Caenorhabditis elegans: one gene and its partners. The protein of the gene in region 3 purifies or fractionates together with the protein of the main gene of each other region. This does not show direct contact. Each region holds a gene or a part of one and is shown on either strand. Other genes may lie near its edges.

The links.
Region 1: the proteins of rpa-1 (region 3) and lig-1 fractionate together in Caenorhabditis elegans (co-fractionation; one large-scale study listed by BioGRID). This does not show direct contact.
Region 2: the proteins of rpa-1 (region 3) and Y55F3BR.6 fractionate together in Caenorhabditis elegans (co-fractionation; one large-scale study listed by BioGRID). This does not show direct contact.

The regions. Positions count from the first base shown.
Region 1 is NC_003283.11:10,812,292-10,817,251, reverse strand, and holds lig-1 (DNA ligase 1), read right to left. Parts: upstream 3,140-4,960; coding exon 3,087-3,139; intron 3,041-3,086; coding exon 2,833-3,040; intron 2,787-2,832; coding exon 2,362-2,786; intron 2,316-2,361; coding exon 953-2,315; intron 902-952; coding exon 629-901; 3' UTR 534-628; downstream 1-533. Other genes in the region: C29A12.1 (uncharacterized protein), read left to right, coding at 3,863-4,081, 4,127-4,251, 4,296-4,492, 4,539-4,702, 4,749-4,808; C29A12.22 (Transposase), read right to left, coding at 4,908-4,960. UniProt on the Caenorhabditis elegans protein: DNA ligase that seals nicks in double-stranded DNA during DNA replication, DNA recombination and DNA repair.
Region 2 is NC_003282.8:836,086-843,816, forward strand, and holds the start of Y55F3BR.6 (SHSP domain-containing protein), read right to left. Parts: upstream 6,034-7,731; coding exon 5,926-6,033; intron 5,816-5,925; coding exon 5,724-5,815; intron 2,405-5,723; coding exon 2,335-2,404; intron 1,389-2,334; coding exon 1,320-1,388; intron 1,019-1,319; coding exon 851-1,018; intron 1-850.
Region 3 is NC_003280.10:7,662,923-7,667,631, reverse strand, and holds rpa-1 (putative replication factor A 73 kDa subunit), read right to left. Parts: upstream 3,051-4,709; 5' UTR 3,041-3,050; coding exon 2,957-3,040; intron 2,905-2,956; coding exon 2,851-2,904; intron 2,803-2,850; coding exon 2,721-2,802; intron 2,677-2,720; coding exon 2,571-2,676; intron 2,529-2,570; coding exon 2,284-2,528; intron 2,242-2,283; coding exon 1,940-2,241; intron 1,888-1,939; coding exon 1,792-1,887; intron 1,743-1,791; coding exon 858-1,742; intron 813-857; coding exon 699-812; 3' UTR 522-698; downstream 1-521. Other genes in the region: F18A1.7 (Chondroitin proteoglycan 4 domain-containing protein), read left to right, coding at 3,878-3,995, 4,043-4,345, 4,394-4,661. UniProt on the Caenorhabditis elegans protein: As part of the heterotrimeric replication protein A complex (RPA/RP-A), binds and stabilizes single-stranded DNA intermediates, that form during DNA replication or upon DNA stress.

The DNA of each region.
Region 1 (4,960 bases), on a different chromosome or scaffold from region 3:
GAATGTTTTCCACAAAATTGTGAGAAGGATACCTGTTACGATTCTTTCCCGATACGCTTTTTTGGATAGTAGCGGATTCATGGAATGACGTGACAAATTCACCTAGATTTGTTCAAAGTTTTAATTATTGCTTCAAAGTTTTAATTCTAAATAAACTTTTTGTTTGAAACTTAAGAATATTAATTGAATTGGTTTGAGGCATCAGAATGTCTTATGCTTTCTGCTCTCCCGTATTGAACTGCAAATCGAATTTTGCGGATGCGCACTACGTAAGTCAACGACACAACAGAAGAATGCACGAAGGAGAGAAGATGATTCAGGAGTACACAGACGTGGTAGAATGTAGATATACATTTGTCTTTTTAGTAAAGTTTTACTATGTGTTTGTTTCTAGGTATCTAGGTCAGCGTCTATCTCTTTCCTAAATAGAAGACTCAAAATCCAAAGTTCTGAATAAATCAGTTGAAAGTACAACACATTCGCACACATGAATGAGTTGTTTAAAATGACCGGCCGTGAACAAAAGAAAAAGTCGATGTGAGGTATTTACTTAGAAAATTAGGAAACATAGTACAAAAAGTAAATCATTGAATATGCAGAAATGTATCTCAGTATTAGTTGCTTGGCATTAGTCGGAATCGGAATCAATTGCAACGCGAGACCTCTTCTTTGCTGGCTGTTTCTTATTAGTTGAGGTTTCTTCATCAGACTCGTCAGAATCAGAAGGCAGCTTCTTCTTTCTGATCGGAGATGGAGATTCCACTTTAACGTCTTTTTCATTCTTCTTTGTCGATGATGAAAAGATGCTAGCAACTGGTCCTTTCTTTTTCTCTGCTTCTTTCTTTATTGGTGAACTTTTCACGGGCGATTTGTTAACTGGTGAAGATTTTACAGGCGGTTTCTGGAAATAATATATATAATTAGCGATAATGGTAATTTCAAAAACTAAAACCTTTTCGAATTTTTTCGGGGATACTGATTTAGGAGTCTCTTTCTTGATCTCCTCTTTCACTGGATTTTCTTTAGAACTTCCTTCAGATACATTGGTCATGTTCAACTCCTCCTCTTCATCTTCTTTTTCTTCAAATTCGTCATCCTCATCAACTGCATCCGCCTTTTCGATCTTCTGGTTGGCAAAAGCTTCTTGGTTTTTGTACATTTCAAGAACTTGCTCCGAAGATGTTGCATCGTCGGAATTTTTATCGTCCCGAATACGCAGGAAACGAGGAAATCTCAAAGAGATTCCTTTTCCATCATCCGTCAATCCACTTGCAGCTTTGTGACGCGGAGATATAGTAATATCGGCACATTTGACTTCGAAAACAAGATACGGAGAAAAAGTGTCATCTGGTTTAAGAGTGTGATCAAATTGATAATAAGAAGGAGATTTGTCAATTTTCTTGTCTTGTAGGATCTTGTATTGCTCGGCCAAATCTTCATCAGTGAAACCAGTTCCAATCTTGCATACACTTTCGTACTCTTCTGTAGTAGGATTGTAACATCCGAGAAGATATCCTCCATACACTCCAGTTCTCTTTCCAACTCCAGAATAAGCACCCATGACGACAAGATCCAACGTATCTCCTACTCCATCAACGTAATCTTTCTTCATTTTCAACCAGCTGTGGGAACGTCTTGAAATCTCATAAGTAGCTTCAGTGTCGAGAGTTTTGATCATGAGTCCTTCGCATTTATTTTGAACGGCTTCATCGAAGAAAGAGTTGATTTCATCAGTATCATTTGTATCTACGGAAGTTGCAAAATAGAAGCTTCCATCAATCTTTTTGAAGTTTGTTCGAAGAAGTTCTCTTCTTTTTCGGAGTGGTTTTCTCACGAGAGGCTCCCCATTGAAGTAGAGAAGATCGAAAAGAAAAACTACAACCTTGACTCCGTTATCATCAGTTGCATTTTTCCTTTTACGAGTCGACAAAACTTGGAACGGAAGAATTAAGCCAGCCTCATCGATAGCTACAACTTCAGCATCGACAATAAATGAAGTTACCCCATCCCCGATGCAGGATGAAATTTTTTCGATAATATCGGGGTACTTGGTAGTGTTGTTCTCTTGGTTTCGACTGTAGATGAAAATTTGCCCGTCTTCTCGTTTATGAATCTGGCCGCGTTCTCCGTCATATTTCCATTCACAGGTCATTGTCTGATTTCTGAATCGTCGCATAATTTCATCAATTCCCTTTGTAGGGTGAGCCAGCATAGGTTTCAGTGGAATTCCGGGTGAAAGTTTACATTTTTCGACAAGAGCTTCCACACCTTCAGTCAGTGCAACTTCGATCAGACGATTGTAGTTAGGGCATTCGCTGAAAATTAATTAGATGAATAATTTAATAAAGAAACAATTATTACCAATAGGCGGTCTTTACTCGCTTAACATTTGCATCTTTCAGAGAATCGAGTTTGTCACCACGAACCTTTTGATCAGTTATTTTCGAAAGAGTGAATGCATGTCCAAGTGCTGATAGAACACTTTGTTCACCGAGACCGATTCTCATTTTGCCGGCGAGCATTCGGACGAGGAATCGAGCCTCAATTCCTTGACATGCAATGAGGAGTGCACTAATGGCATCAACTTTCTTGTTCATAGCTGAAGTGCCACTGAGCTTTGCAATTTCGGTTAACTTGTTGAAAACAGTTGGAACAGTTAATGCTTTTGGAACAGCAAGCATTTTCTGATTGGATCTTGACTGTTGTGCGACAGTCCCAAGATCTCCTTTCGCGCGAAGATCTTCTTTAATTTTTCCCTCTGTACGTCCGGTCGCTTTAGCAACAGCCTTAAATTTTCTTTATAATTTAATATAGATTCAGTGGAATGCAAACCTTGATCAGCGAATTTTCAGCAACTCCAAGCTCGAGCCCTTCATACGATGGCCCGAGCTGATTAACTGACATGTACACGCACGCTGTTAAATCGTCGGGTGAAAAGTCCAGAACTTTGGTGAAAAATTGAGCCAATTCATCCACTTTCTTTTTTCCCGATAACTCTTCGATTTTCTCAAGGGTGAGAGCAAACTCCTTGTAAGGGACTCTGAAAATTTAGAAATAAAAAACAGTATGTTCCACAAAAAACTTACTTTGAACCCTTTGCCCATTCAACAGCGGCTTTGCCAGCTTTTGAGAAAAACATCTGAAACGATGAAGATGTGAAATTTACATTATTCGAGAAGAAAAGGTTTCGAAGATGAATAATTAATACGTGAAGGGATACAACGTAAAATACTTGGCAGTGTGCAAAATCAAGAGAATATCGAGCAAGTATTAAAAATAAAGTTGTATTAATCGAACCAGAAAACGATACATTTTGAACGGCGCGCGCACCAGATGCATTAGAGCACGATTGCGCGCACATGAGAGAGTGTGGAGACTAAGAGACATAGACAGTTAAAAACCGGCAAATCGTAAATGCTTCTTTCCTTGTGATTAAAGTCGACGTTATTAAAAATAGAAAAATGGGACATTGAAAATACCATCGTCTATTTGCTTTTTAAAAGATAGTGAGAGACCTATAATTAATAAAAAAAAGAATATTTAGACAACACATTTGAACCTACCAAAAGAAAAGTTCATTGCTACCGTACTCCAATGCCTGCACATCAAAAATACCGACTTTCAGCACGTCGCGGAAAATAACGGCATTCAGTTTCTTTCACGTGTTTTCAGCTCGACCATTCGGTGTAATTTGTGCAAACACCGTCACGCGCAAATGCAGACATTTTTGCACGCGCTGCGGTGAAATTCCTCTTGGCGAATTCAAATATTTTTTCCCGCCTTTTTTGAAAATTTTCGAGGCGTTAGTCGAGCTGAATACACGTGTCTTTCATCGATGTTCATTTTCTAACACTGTTTCAGAATGTCCCTGTCACAGAAAAAGGACCTTCTCGATGAACTACATAATGAGGCTGCAAAATGGTTGGCAGTCCTTCTCGATTTGTGTAAAAATGTAAAGGCGCCAGAGAACCAGCGAAACCTAGTCGCCTGGGCACAGAAGTGGATGGATGGGGCCGGAACACTCACTGACGAGCTTGAAGATTTTTCCATACGTGTTCACGTGGCAGAAACTGTGTCGGAGGTATAGACGAGAATGTGTTTAACAAACATTTGTTTCCTTTTTCAGATCAATCCTGCCGACAATGCTCCAGTTATGGAATGCCTTGTTGATGTCGTCAATGCAATAAATTCCATCACACAAAATATGTACAAAATTGTCAATAACGACCAGAACAAGCGATTGTTCATCGCGTAAGTTCAAAAAGTAAATAATTGGATTAAAAATATCATTTCAGAAAGTCAAATGCTCAAAGAAAGCATGCAAAGTTATTGAATGAGAAGGAAATTGTTATGAGACGACTGGAGCAATTGAAGAAAGAGCAGCTGAAGAAAACAATGGAATCCGAAAAAAAACTGAGAGATCTTCAAGCTGAAAATATCCGGCGAGATTTTCAAGAGCAGGCTCGTTCACAAGCTATGAGAGATCACGAAGGTATGAATTTCAGGTTGATTGATTTAATATTTATAAACTGTTTCAGTTTACCTTGCTTATGCGGAAGCCATTAATTCTGTAAACGTTACACCTCATTTCGAACATTTTGAGACCCCTGCGGAAGACATTTCTACACCCTTTGAATCGCCCAATCTTCCGAGAAAACGTCGCTCTCGCAGCCTTGGCCGGAAAGTTTTGGGATCTGTCAAGGTATAAAAATGGATTCCGATTTATTTTCATTCCTATTTAATTTTAGAAAACAATCCGCAGAAGCGTATCAGCTATTCACGACTACATCGATCATCATCACAAATAAGACGCCTAAATTTATTTCTTACAGATGATAACTCTATATTGTTCATTTCATAGCTTTTATATAAGTCGTTTTTCATGTACCATAAATATATTCACAATATCAATTCACATATTTATCAGTTTCCTGAACGAGAGCCCTGAACAATATGGCGA
Region 2 (7,731 bases), on a different chromosome or scaffold from region 3:
TATCTGTAGAACAATTTTTAAAATTGAAATTTTTATTTCAAAAATTTCTAGCACATTTTTTTTTCTTTTTTCCTGAAAAATACGAAATTCCACACCTTTTATTTTGAAATTTTCAAAAAAAAATCGTATTTTTTAAAATTTAATTTGGCGAAAAAACTGAAATTTCACCAAATTTTCAGAAGTTTTTTTTATAGAAAAAATCAGAATTTACGATTTTCTTAAAATACATGTATAATTTTGAAATTTTACAGTTGTAAAAGACTAAATTTTTGAGAAAAATATTGAAGCTGTTTTCAAATGTATTTTTTCAGGAAAAAACACCAAATATTTCCAAAAATTTTAATGTTTCTTTTTCGCATAAAAATTCAATTTTATTTGTTTTTCGTCGAAAAATACAACATCTGTAATTTTTTCAATGCTTTTTATGGAAAATTTTAGTTTCTCCTATAGAAAAAAATTTCCATCAATTGAATCGTTCAATTTCCAGAATTATTTCTTGAAAATTTTGTGGTTTTTGAAAAAAACAATTTTTTTCTGATTCAAGCAAATTTTCCGATTTTTTAAAAAGCAAAATTTGAAAATTAAAAAAAAAACTAAACTCAAAAATTACCAAAATAAAAATATAAAATTCAAAAAAATTACTAGAAACTGTTGAAAATCGAAAATTTTCCCAAAAAACTTTTTTTTCAGATTTAAAATAATCCAGAAATCGTGAGAAAAAGTCAATTTTCAAGGTTTTCTACAGATTGTTTGATTTTTTTTTGAAAATAATAATTTTTCATTCAATTTGTAACATTTTCGTGGTTTGCTTCGAATTTTCCAGATTTTCCGTCTAAAAGCCTGAAAATACCTTTAACGAATCAGCATCATACTTGGAAACGTCCAAAATCGCATGAAAACTAGTATTCGTGACACGAATTGATGTCAGATTTCCATTTTGACTTCCAACAACCGATGGGCTCGAAATTGCAAGATTTGGAAAGTTGGAGAGCATCGAAGAGTGGATATTGCCGAGGTCCTGTGAAGCAAAATTTCATTAAAATTTTTTTCGGTTTATCGGTTTTTTCAAAGTCAAATAATCCTTTAAAAAATGAAAATTAAGAAAAAAACAATATTTTTTAAAAGTTTTTTAAATTAACTGTTTCCCAGAATTTTCATCAAAAATTTGAAACCCGTATTTTTTCCGATTTTAATAAAATAAAATCATTATTTTAAGCCGATAAATACAATTTTAAATTAATTTTTCAAAAATTTCAAATTTTGAAAAAAAAAAGTCAAATTGTATGTCTTTTTTTTTATTTTCGGGAAACATTTTTTACCGGCATTCCTGGAATTGCAGTATGAGTTTGCGTGGTGACACGAACATTTGGAGATCCTTCCTCGATGACCTGCAAAAAAAATTTATACATTTTTGAGGGGAAAATCTGAAAGTTATAGAAAAAATATTTCCATAATTTTCGGAATTTTTGAAAAAATTAAAAAAAAACATTTTCGTTAAAAAAATTCACTTTTTCAAATTTTTTAAAGAACACACTTCAATTTTTTTTAAATAAGAAAATTATGCAAAAAAATCAATTGTTAATGATTTCTTGAGAAAAATTGCAACTTTTGAAGAAAAAAGGTTTGTTTAATCTTTGAAAAATATTTAATTTAACTATAAGAAAAATGTTTTCCAAAAATAAAATAAAAACCTTTTTTTTCAAAAGTTTCTAAATTTTTACTCAATAAATCAATAAAAATTGATATTTTTTTCAAAAAATTTTCAAATTTTCCACTGAAAAGCTTGTAATATTTTTTTTTTTTCAAAAAATTTAAAAATATAAATTTATACATTCAAAAAAAAAATTGCAAAAATCACAGAATTCCTCTGGGAATTTTCAAATTTCAAGAAAATCGGTGTCTGTCACATCTAGCAAAAAAAGGAGTAAAACGAAGACAAAGTGACCAATTTTTTGGCGTTTTTTTCGGAACATTTTAAACGTTTTTCTGCGATTTTTTTTTAGTTAATCCAAAATTTATTCGAAATTAGCCAATTTTCTGAAGAAAAAAAAATCGAATTTTCACAATTTTTAACGTTTTCCCAAACGTTTTTGAACATTTTTCAAAAAAATTATATAATTTTTTCTTAAATTTTTTTTCAATTTCAAGTGATTTTTTCAACAAAAACTGAATTTCCCCTTTTTTTAAATAAAAATTCAATTTTCTGGGTTTTTCTTCGATTTTTCGAGAAAAAATGTACTTCTGTAAAAGTCAATTTTTCTTCAATTTTTGGTTATTTTTTTCCACTTTTTTCTATTTCTCTATTTTCCATCATTTTTTGTTCAAAAAATTCACCTTTTTCTCATAAGTCCGATTGTAGGAGCTTGTAGTGTTGAACGTAGCCATATTATTGCTGCTCCGTGCTCTTAATTTTTCAAATCGTTCAGAAATCTCGGCAAGATCTTTTGTTGGAGTATTTTGGGTGGTAGAAGCCATAGTTTTGGGAGAGTTACTGGGGGTATCAAAATGAGTTGAGTAGGACGAGTTGTGTGCTCTCAGGTGCTCCGCGGAGCTCCACCCATATTTCTTAAGCGAGATAAGAAAAAAAAAATGAAAAAAAAAGTCGTTAAAAATGTCAAAACATCTGCATTTTTCCGCGGATTTTTTAGGATAAAGTTCACATAAATCTATGTAAATTTTAAAATTTTCCCCAATTTTTCACCAGATTTTTCCCACTTTTTTCAATGTGCTCTCGGAGCAACCCCCGATCAGTTGGAGAACGACACGAGATATCTCATCTCCCCCTTGCTACGACATATGTATACACTAAAACTCCCACACGAGATTGGGGGGAGAGAGAACGGGGAAGTGTGATGAATCAGATGGGATGAAGCTATCATCGAGAAGAGATTTTTGGTAGGTATATTGATTGAGGAGGAAAAAATTTGTGGAAAAATTCGAGAAAATAGCTAGAAATTAACTTCAGGAAATAGATTTTGCTGCAAAACTACAATTGAACTTTTAAAGGTGGAGTACCAAAATTTGAAAAAAAATTGTTTTTTTTTTACCAAAAATGGTCCAAAACTACCAAATTTCGTAATGTACGTTCTGAGAATGCCTCAAAAAAAAGTTATGGCAGCAGCTCAAATTTTTGGAAAAAGTAGTCAATTTTTAGCTAAAATCTCAAATTTTGGCAATTTTTCAGCGCTCATTTTTTGGTGTAATTTTTGAAAAATTTCCACAAAAACACTTTTAATTTAAATTTTATAATTTATTCCCCAAATCCCTATAAGTATATTCTAAAAGCCGATTAAAATTGAAATTCTGAAAATTGCACAAAAAAATGTGCAAAATCACAATTTGCGGAAAATTTTCGGCAATCCCCGTTTTTCCGGCGAATTCGGCAAATCAGCGCTTTTCTAATTTGCCGGAAATTTTCAATTCCGGCAATTTACCGATTTGCCGGAAATTTTAAATTCCGGCAATTTACCGATCTGCCGGAAATTTTCAATTGCGACCATTTTGCCGGCAAATTCGGAATATCGGCAATTTGCCTGCTTGTCGATTTGACGGAAATTTTCAATTCCGGCAATTTTCCGATTTGCCGGAAATTTTCAATTCTGACAATTTACCGATTTGCCGGAAATTTTAAATTCCGGCAATTTACCGATCTGCCGGAAATTTTCAATTCCGACAATTTGCCGGCAAATTCGGAATATCGGCAATTTGCCTGCTTGTCGATTTGACGGAAATTTTCAATTCCGGCAATTTTCCGATTTCCCGGAATTTTTATTTTTGACCGAAAATTTTCCCTATTTCCCCCAAATTTTGCTCTCAGAGCACAAAAATTCCTTAAATAAACCACAAAAAGGGTGTTAAGAACATCAGATCAAAGGGAAACAGGCAACATTTACCGCCGACGTACGTAACATAATACCTCCCCAAATTTCTTATCACTCTTATTTTTCTAGAACATTTCAAAATGGTCAGAAATTTGTGAAATTCTTGATTTTCAAGAGGAAAAAACGGGGAAAAGTGTGTTGGCGGGGTGGAAAAATGTGATGATGTGATGAAATAATACGATTAAAATGCAAATTTTTATTCGGAAAAATTGGTTTACAGGGGGGAAAATGGGGGAGAAATGTGCGGAAAATCGACTTTCATCTCAAATGAAAAACTGACTTAGAAATGGAAAAATGTCAGATTTTTCGACATTTTTTTCCAGGAAAAACCACTTTTCACACGTTTTTAAAGTGAATTTCCCGAAATTTTGAAGAGAAAATCGGAATTTCTGGAAAGTTTTCCAGAAAAGCCCGATTTTTCGTCAATTTTCTCCAGGAAAAACCAAACGTAACGTGAAATTCCTCGAAATATTGAAGAAAATCCGAATTCCAGACAATTTTCTGGTGAAAAAAAACGAGAAACTCGTAATTTATCAGACAAATTACTTGAAAATGTCAGAAAATTTTATTTCTCGTCAATTTTTTTCGGAAAATCTACTTTTAACACGTGTTTAAAGTGAAATTCCCGAAATTTTGAAGAAAAAATCGGAATTTCTTGAAAGATTTCCAGAGAATCCCAATTTTCGTCATTTTTCTACAGGAAAACTACTCTTAATAGGTTTTAAAAGTGAAATTCCTCGAAATGTTGAAGAAAATCCAACTTCAGACAATTTTTCGGCGAGCCATTAATCATCGGAATTTTTGAAGAAATTGCCAGAAAATCGCATTTTTGGTCAATTTTCTTCAGGAAAAACTGCTTTTATTAAGGTAAAAACTGATCATCAGGCCAATTTTTAAGGGAAAATTGGGAAAAATGATAAATTTTCCAATTTTCAGACGAATTTTTAGGATTTTGCGTAAAAACACGAAGAAAAATGTAGTTTGTGCCAATTTTCAAGAAAAATGCCAAGAAAAAGGTGTCGAAAAGAGAATTGTTGGTCCTCCAAGCTGTGTTGTTGTTTCTTCTTTTCAAAAACTTGCTTCTTTTTGTGCTCCATTTTGTCCCATTGAGCACCGCCCGTCTGCTCTCACAGCAGGTGGTTCCCGTGGAGGAGGCGTAGGCGTAAGGCTCATCAGCTGGTTGAGTTGGGTTCCAGTAAAAAATTCCAGAAAAAATTGGGAAATTTTGGAAGAAAAACAAGGTATTCTGATCAGAAATCCTTAAAAATAGTTAAAACTCCAAATTTTATAGGAAATAGCTATTTTTACAATAAAAATTCACTTTTTATCGGTAGTAATGGATGTTTTCATCGTTTTTCCACTGAAAAATCTGGGAAATTTCAATTTTGCAAGAAAATTCCTCGAAAAATCGGGCTTTCAGTGATTTCTAAGCTGAAAATCCACGTTTTTCGATTTAAAAATCCGATTTTCCAGCATTTCGAGTGTTTTCGCCGCGTTTTCACTGAAAAATCCAAGAAGTCCACATTTTGAGAGACAAAGTCTAAAGAACTCAGTTTACAAGGAAAACTCACCAAAAAATCCGCTTTTTCATAGTAAAAACGACTAAAAATCGGGGTTTAATGCCAAAAGTCCACAGTTTAGTTGGAAATCTGTGAGAAATACGGAAATCCGACAATTTTTTAACCAGAATATGCGAAATAAGTCAGAAAACAGTACAAAAAAGGGTGGAAAAAGCTGTGGAAACGTGAAAAAAACGCAATTAAAACCAATTTTACGCCTGAAAATCGGTCAAAAAGTGTATTTTTCCGGAAATTTTTTATTTTTCAACTTTTTCGCAGCTACCTGTCATCTCCAGAGGATCTCATCGGAGTTCTCAATCCATCCAGGCCAGCAGTGTTGATAGAGTTGCTGGAGCTTCCGACAGCCGTGCGGAACTGAAAACTTTCAGGTTTTTAGGGAAATTTCAGTGAAAATGGGGTTTCCCACAATTTTAGAGTTGATTTCTATTGTTTTTCCGATCAATTTAACCCGAAAATCCACGAACCGTCGACGAATAGATCGGAGAATAGACGGGCAGTTCCTCGATCGGACTTTTCGACGGAAGGCCGTTGGAACGGGTGGTAACACGGGTGTAGGAGTATGTCTTGCTCATTTTTTAATCTGAAATTCAATATTATAACTTAGAATCATAAAAAAATCTTTGAAAAATTGCTAAAAATCGCTGGAAACTGTGAAAAATAAAAATAATACGTAGATGTCGTAAGATAAGATGCACGGTGTGCAAACACCGTCGCGCGAAAATGCACAGTCTCAAATACGCGCGAGATTTGAATTTTGTTTTTGGTTGATTTTTTAACATTTTCAAACTTCAAGATTGCTCCGTTATTCTCAACATCGCAGATCAGATTTATTTACTTAAAACGGAATAACAAAAGCTATAATCTATAAATTCAATCCCCATCGTTTTCATTCAATTTCATCTTGAAATTCCTGTCCAAAAAGTGTTAATTGGTTATTGGCGGGTGGCTTGAAAGAAACAACAACCACTTAAAAAGTTAATCGAGTCAGTGGAGAGAATCTAGAGGCGCAGAGGAGAACTTCATGTTTTGAATCTTATACAGTCACTTTTGATGATAATTTAGTACTTACCTCTATTTTTCATATTTTTAGATGTTCTTTTTTGTTAGTTTGTTCTTTTGAATTCCAAAATCTATAATTCTCAAATCGATTCTTTGAATAATAATATCAATGAAAAACACCTGAAAACTATATTTTTCCCATTCCCCTCACTCTCCTGCTCACACAAGCCTTATCTTCTCCCTTCCGACCTCCCGACGCCGGATCCCATGTGGTCTAGTGGTTAGGATTCGTGGTTTTCACCCACGCGGCCCGGGTTCGATTCCCGGCATGGGAAGTTTCTTTTTTGTCCGCTGCGCACGCAACTGGAAAGTACAACGCTCAAGAATTACCTTCCACGTCAGTAGGCATACAACTTGTACACATAATTGGCGTTATTTATGATTATTATTACTTTTTCTATTATATGATTTGTCGTCGGGATGTGTGTATTTTCATAAAATCCCTGTATTGACTCATCGCTGTTTTCCTCTTTTGCTTGAAAAAATTTTGAAAACTTGGTATTTGCCGAAAACCTTTCAACTAATTGCCTATGCTTAGGTGACGACATACACTACTAAACGGTGTATAAGTAGTATAAAAGAATAGTGTTTGGGTTTTGATATTTTCTTCGGAATCAAATGTTTCATATTTTTAATTCTTTATATGTGATCTACCAAAAAAAAAAGTTATTTTTCTCAGAAAGTAGTGTATAATTAGGAGGTGTATATGGTTTGTGAATATATAATTAGATTCTATTTTCAATTTTTTTTATTCTGAGAAATTCTTGAATGTTTGACTGGAATTTCCAAAAGTCTAGTCTAGTTGAGGTTTTTTTTTGCGAATTTGAAATTTTTTAAACTTGAATTTTCGGTATTGAACCTCATTTTGGCATTTATAACAAAAAATTCAAATTTTTGTGAAAAAAAAAACAAAATCTAATTTTTTTAAATAAAAGTTTTTCAGAATTCTTCAGGAGTGTTTCAATAAATCAGTGACCTAGTTTTTGCTCTCCTCCGTTCTAGGGCCATAAATGGTAGGCAGACGCGGTTTAGGGCCTCACGCCTGCCTGAAATCTACCCGCCTTCGCCTGCATTTTGGCTTAAGTTTTCAAATTTGGTTGGGTAGAGTCAATTTTTTTTTTGCTTTAAATGACGGAAAATAGGCCGAATATAACCAGTGAAAAAACTTTTTTTTAATCTAATTTTTTTATGATTTTTTCAATTTTTCAAAA
Region 3 (4,709 bases):
ATAAGGTCAGCTGCATAACCCTAAATTGCATCGACAAATCTTAACAACTGCAACAGAAAAGCTACACTCAAAATATAAGACGGAAATTTTCTTTCAGCACGGCTTAGTTTGGACGAACAATTTGAAAGGAGTGTTCAAATTGCAACTGTTTGGAAACATAATAAAATCATTACGGAATTTATTTTTTTGGAAAATCAAAACAGGTGATAAAAGACGTTTCTGTAAATGAAAGTCACTAGTCTTTTCCACTAATCCGCCAATGTCTTTCATGGAAAATAAGACAAAAAAAAAGACAGCGTTAGAGAGAAATAGACGAAGAGAGCTCAAAGAGCTCGCTGGCTGCCCACGAACCTGCGGGTTAGCAATGGAAAATGTGGTCGTGGGCAGAGAGACGTAGGATAAATGTGGCAACCCAAGGCCATTTGTTGTCGGGCAGTCACCCGCTCTCAAGGACGCTGCAACGACCCAATGCTGTCACTTCAGAACACATCTCGAGGTCACCTGGCACTCAAAGATAGGCTCACATCGTATAGTTTATTCGCTAGTAAATGAGATGAAAAACATTGTACAAAATCAGCGATTGTGGATGTGAGACATGTGATAACTTTAGGCTCAAAAAAGGTTTTAATAATATTTAGGTTTTTTTAGATTTAAATGAAACAGTCGAGATCGGCACGATGTAATAAAAAACAGAACATTTAGTAGTCACTCATTTGTTGCATCTGCTCGATCATTTGCTTCAGATTTTCGATGTACTTGTCCTGATTGACATCATCCACACCATAGACAGTCATCTTCTGACGAACTTCTTCCTATAAAGAAAACAATCATAACGGATCTTCAAGAAATAAAGCTACATTGTACGAATCCATCTTGCAACGAAGTCTCCACATCTTTGGAACAAACTGAAGGCGTTCGAAAATAGCGTTGTACTCATCTGGGCTTTCATCGTGCAATTCTCCAAGCTCCGCAGCTGATTTTCCAACAATCTTCGCAGCACTATCTCCGAAAGCTGTGACATAGACCTGTCCGGTTTCGTCCGAAAGTTCAAACTGCATCATGTACAGCCACTTGAACTTGTTCATGTTCTTATTGCACTTTTCGCATCTGTAGTCACCATTTTCTCCCACAAGTTTCTTTTGGCAACCCTCTGAAGCGCATCCTCTATAAAGAGCATTCGTAGGATTTACTCTGGTAATCATTGCTTTGACAGTTGCGTAATCTCCCTTGTCGGAATCCTTTCCAAATTGCATTTCTTGGAGTCCTGCAATAGTACGTGGAGCTTCATTGGATCCTCCAGCAGCTTGGCTCATCATCTTAACTTCAGTGGTTGGTTTCACGTTTGCGTACCAATCATAGAGTTCAGACACTCCAGCGATTTCTGGCACCGAAATAATACGAGTTGCTGACCCAGTTCCCAAAGAGAATCCTCCATTAAACTCTCTTGGAATAACACCTTTGAATGCGATTACTTTTTGAACATAGTCATCAACAAGTGCTTTTGTTGCTTCGTCTCCCCAAAGTGTCAATCGAACAAGTGCTCCAGACTCGTCAATCAACTCCATTTCTCGCTTGATCAGAGATTTTCCAGCCTTTGAAGTGAATTCGGTAGCCTCTGGATCCATCTTTTCAACCACGACGAGAACGTCAATCAGTTGTCCAGCATATCCAGCGATTTCACCTAGCTTCACTCGTTTGAGTATGAGCTTTGGAGCAGCAAGCAATTCACCTCCAGCTTCAATCTGAAAATTTAATATTTTAGCTATGATGAATCGCTTTAAATTTACTAACGATAGAATCGCTGCGAAGTGTGATCTCGTAGTCGTGTCCAGTATTGTTGAACTTCTTATTTGCTTGTTTGACTGATCCACCAGACAAATAATAAGACTGAAAATATTAAATTAATTATTATGCATAATCCGATTAAAATAATACTAACAAGATTCTCGGTGATTGTGGTGTACAAGGACTCAGCAACCTCGTTGAATGCGGTACATCTGATTGTATCTCCGTTTGAATCGGTTATTTCAAAGTTGAACACTTTCGTGTTTTTCGCTGGGAAAGTACGAATTTCCTCCTTGCGTGATACCATTCCGTGAATTTTGAAATTCGATACGTACGGTGTAACCATTGCAATAGGCATCACGCCTCTTTCTGTGTTCGACGCGGTACGGCGTGCTGGTGGTGGAACAGCTCGAGCGCGTGTAGCCTCTGGAGCAGCGGCACGATTGTATGAGGCTTCTGAAAACTCGAATTACACACATTACAACTCTTAGATTTTACCTTCTCCGAATTCTCTTTTCGGCGCTTTTGCTGCTGGTGGATTTGCCATATTCTCCTGGTAATCAGCAGCCATTCCTTCAGCTTCAGGCCAAACATCTTCGATGATAATATTTGGTCTATAGCCTTTGTGCTCATCAGGTTTGCCAGAATGAGATCTTGGCTTGACTTCTGGAGAGGTCAAAACCTGATGATAGCGAGAAAGAATTTTGTATCCTTTGATCAGGAAGCAATTCTTAGCACCTTCTCTGAAAAATACATTGAAGGACTCAATAATGTTATAATCTCACCCTTGGTCGTAGATTTCAAATTTAGTAAGAGCGATAATTGTTCCCTCAACAAGATGCTCAACTTCACGTTTGATTTGGTCATCGATATCAGCGGACATGAGCGCATCTTCAAAGCATAAATAAATATCAGAGTATAACAAACTCACTTACTGTATTGGAAAACACCGTCTGAGATACGAATTCTGAAAGTGAATGCGTGACCAAGTTGCTCTCCTTGCTCTACTTTGCCTTTCTGAAAATTATCGAATTATTGCGAAACTTTTGAATTAGTCAAAAGTACCAAAACTTGAACGATTCCATCATGTCCAGGATATCCATTGTTTTCGATAGCCTCCTGAAAATTCATCAAAATTAAATTTCCTGGTTTTCTACATTGATTTCTTTACCTGAACATAGCCTGTTGTAAGTCGAAGTTTCCCGTTAGTATGATACTTATTGAAGACATCGTGATTGATGTGAATTGCCGCCATCTTTCACTATCTGAAACAGATACATAAAAATTGGGGAAAAAAGCTTGAAACATGAAGAAACAAATGAAGGGGAGACGATTCAATTTTGAATTCTCTACAGGCCGGATACGCGCCAAAAAAAATGGCGTAGAATGTGATGTTTGCGGGAAATGTGTGCCGAAAAGCGGGAATTTCTGTTAGTCAAAGAAAATCGAGCACAACTTGAATTAAAATATGAGAAAACAAATAAATATTAAAAAAAGGAATTGAGAAGTTTTAAAGATTACAATAATAATTGTTGAAATTTTGATGAAGGTTTTACATCGGCCAAAATCGCATGAATCGAAATTATGGCAGCGCAATATTGGAAGAGGGTTAAAATACTGAACAAAAACATTCTAAAAGTCAATACTTCGTCCAAACATGAAGATTTTCTGCAGGTTCTCAACAAAGCAATTCACATTTGAAAAAGAAAAAAATGAATGGCTCGGACCACCTGCGTAAATCTTGCCGGGTACGGTATTCGCTTCGAGACCTCCATCAAAACCGTAGTTTGGAAATTGTTTTTTCCCGCCGATCTAACTTTTCTATTGACGCGCTAAATTTTGAAATCAGAAAAGTCGCATAAAGAATTCGGATTTTGTTTTATTTTCATTTGTCAGTTTTGATAAATTTTCATTTTATAAATTATGTAAAGTTTCGGCTATATCAGTTACCCACTTCATTTCTACCTAGCTGTTCTTTTCCTTATATGACCTTCTTGAAAGCTTATAAAAGTTTTCGAAAGCTTTTAGACCACTTTCAAACTGCTTAATATCTAACCCCCATTTCGGAAAAAAAACTTCTACATAATTCCAGATGCGCCATCTCCATCTCGCCTTCTTCCTTCCCGCCATCTTTCTGTTCTTCTCGTGTGTAAATGGTGCCATCGAATCGGTACACGACGACAAAGATGTCGTGCCACACGAAGAACAAGGTAAAAAACTAGATTATTGTGTGCTTAAGATTAAAGTTTCACTTCAGCCCTCGACGTCGACACAATTTTCCGCGCTCTTGGAGTTCCATATTGCATGCGAAAGTGCATCGACCCGTTCATCAATTCTACGACGTCTCTGTGGAACATGAAGAATGTTGTACATCAAGCTCGCAAAGTCTGTGGTCATCATGCACAGGCTATCACTTGTCTGAAGAAAGAACAGTACTGTGATCACAACAAGCTCTTCGCAAAAGCCAGCAGCAGTGTTGAATATATGTGTGCCACAAAGCACGTTCTGTTTGAGCGAATGGAGTCGTGTCTCAACCCTGTCGTTGATGATATCATGTCAGGTAATTTTTTTTCTGAAAAATTGCCCACCATCAAAAAATCGTTTTCAGGCTGCGACAAAGAATGCTATGCTCGTTCAAACCTAACTGCTTTCGCTCAAGATTCTAACATTAAATTCGCTGCTACAGTTGGAGGTAATGTATTTATTGTTGCTGATCATCTTGGAGAACTTTGTAACTCTCTGCAATGTACTCTCCCATGTGTCACCAAGCGACTCAACAGCAAGTGTGCCTTGAGTGGATGGCTTAGTCTGGACATGCTTATGCAACCATTCGATGCCGTTTCTGTAATGGTTGATCAATTGTCACCAGCATTGAGGTTAGTTAGTGCGATCATTATTAAATATGCTATGTAACTAAACATTTC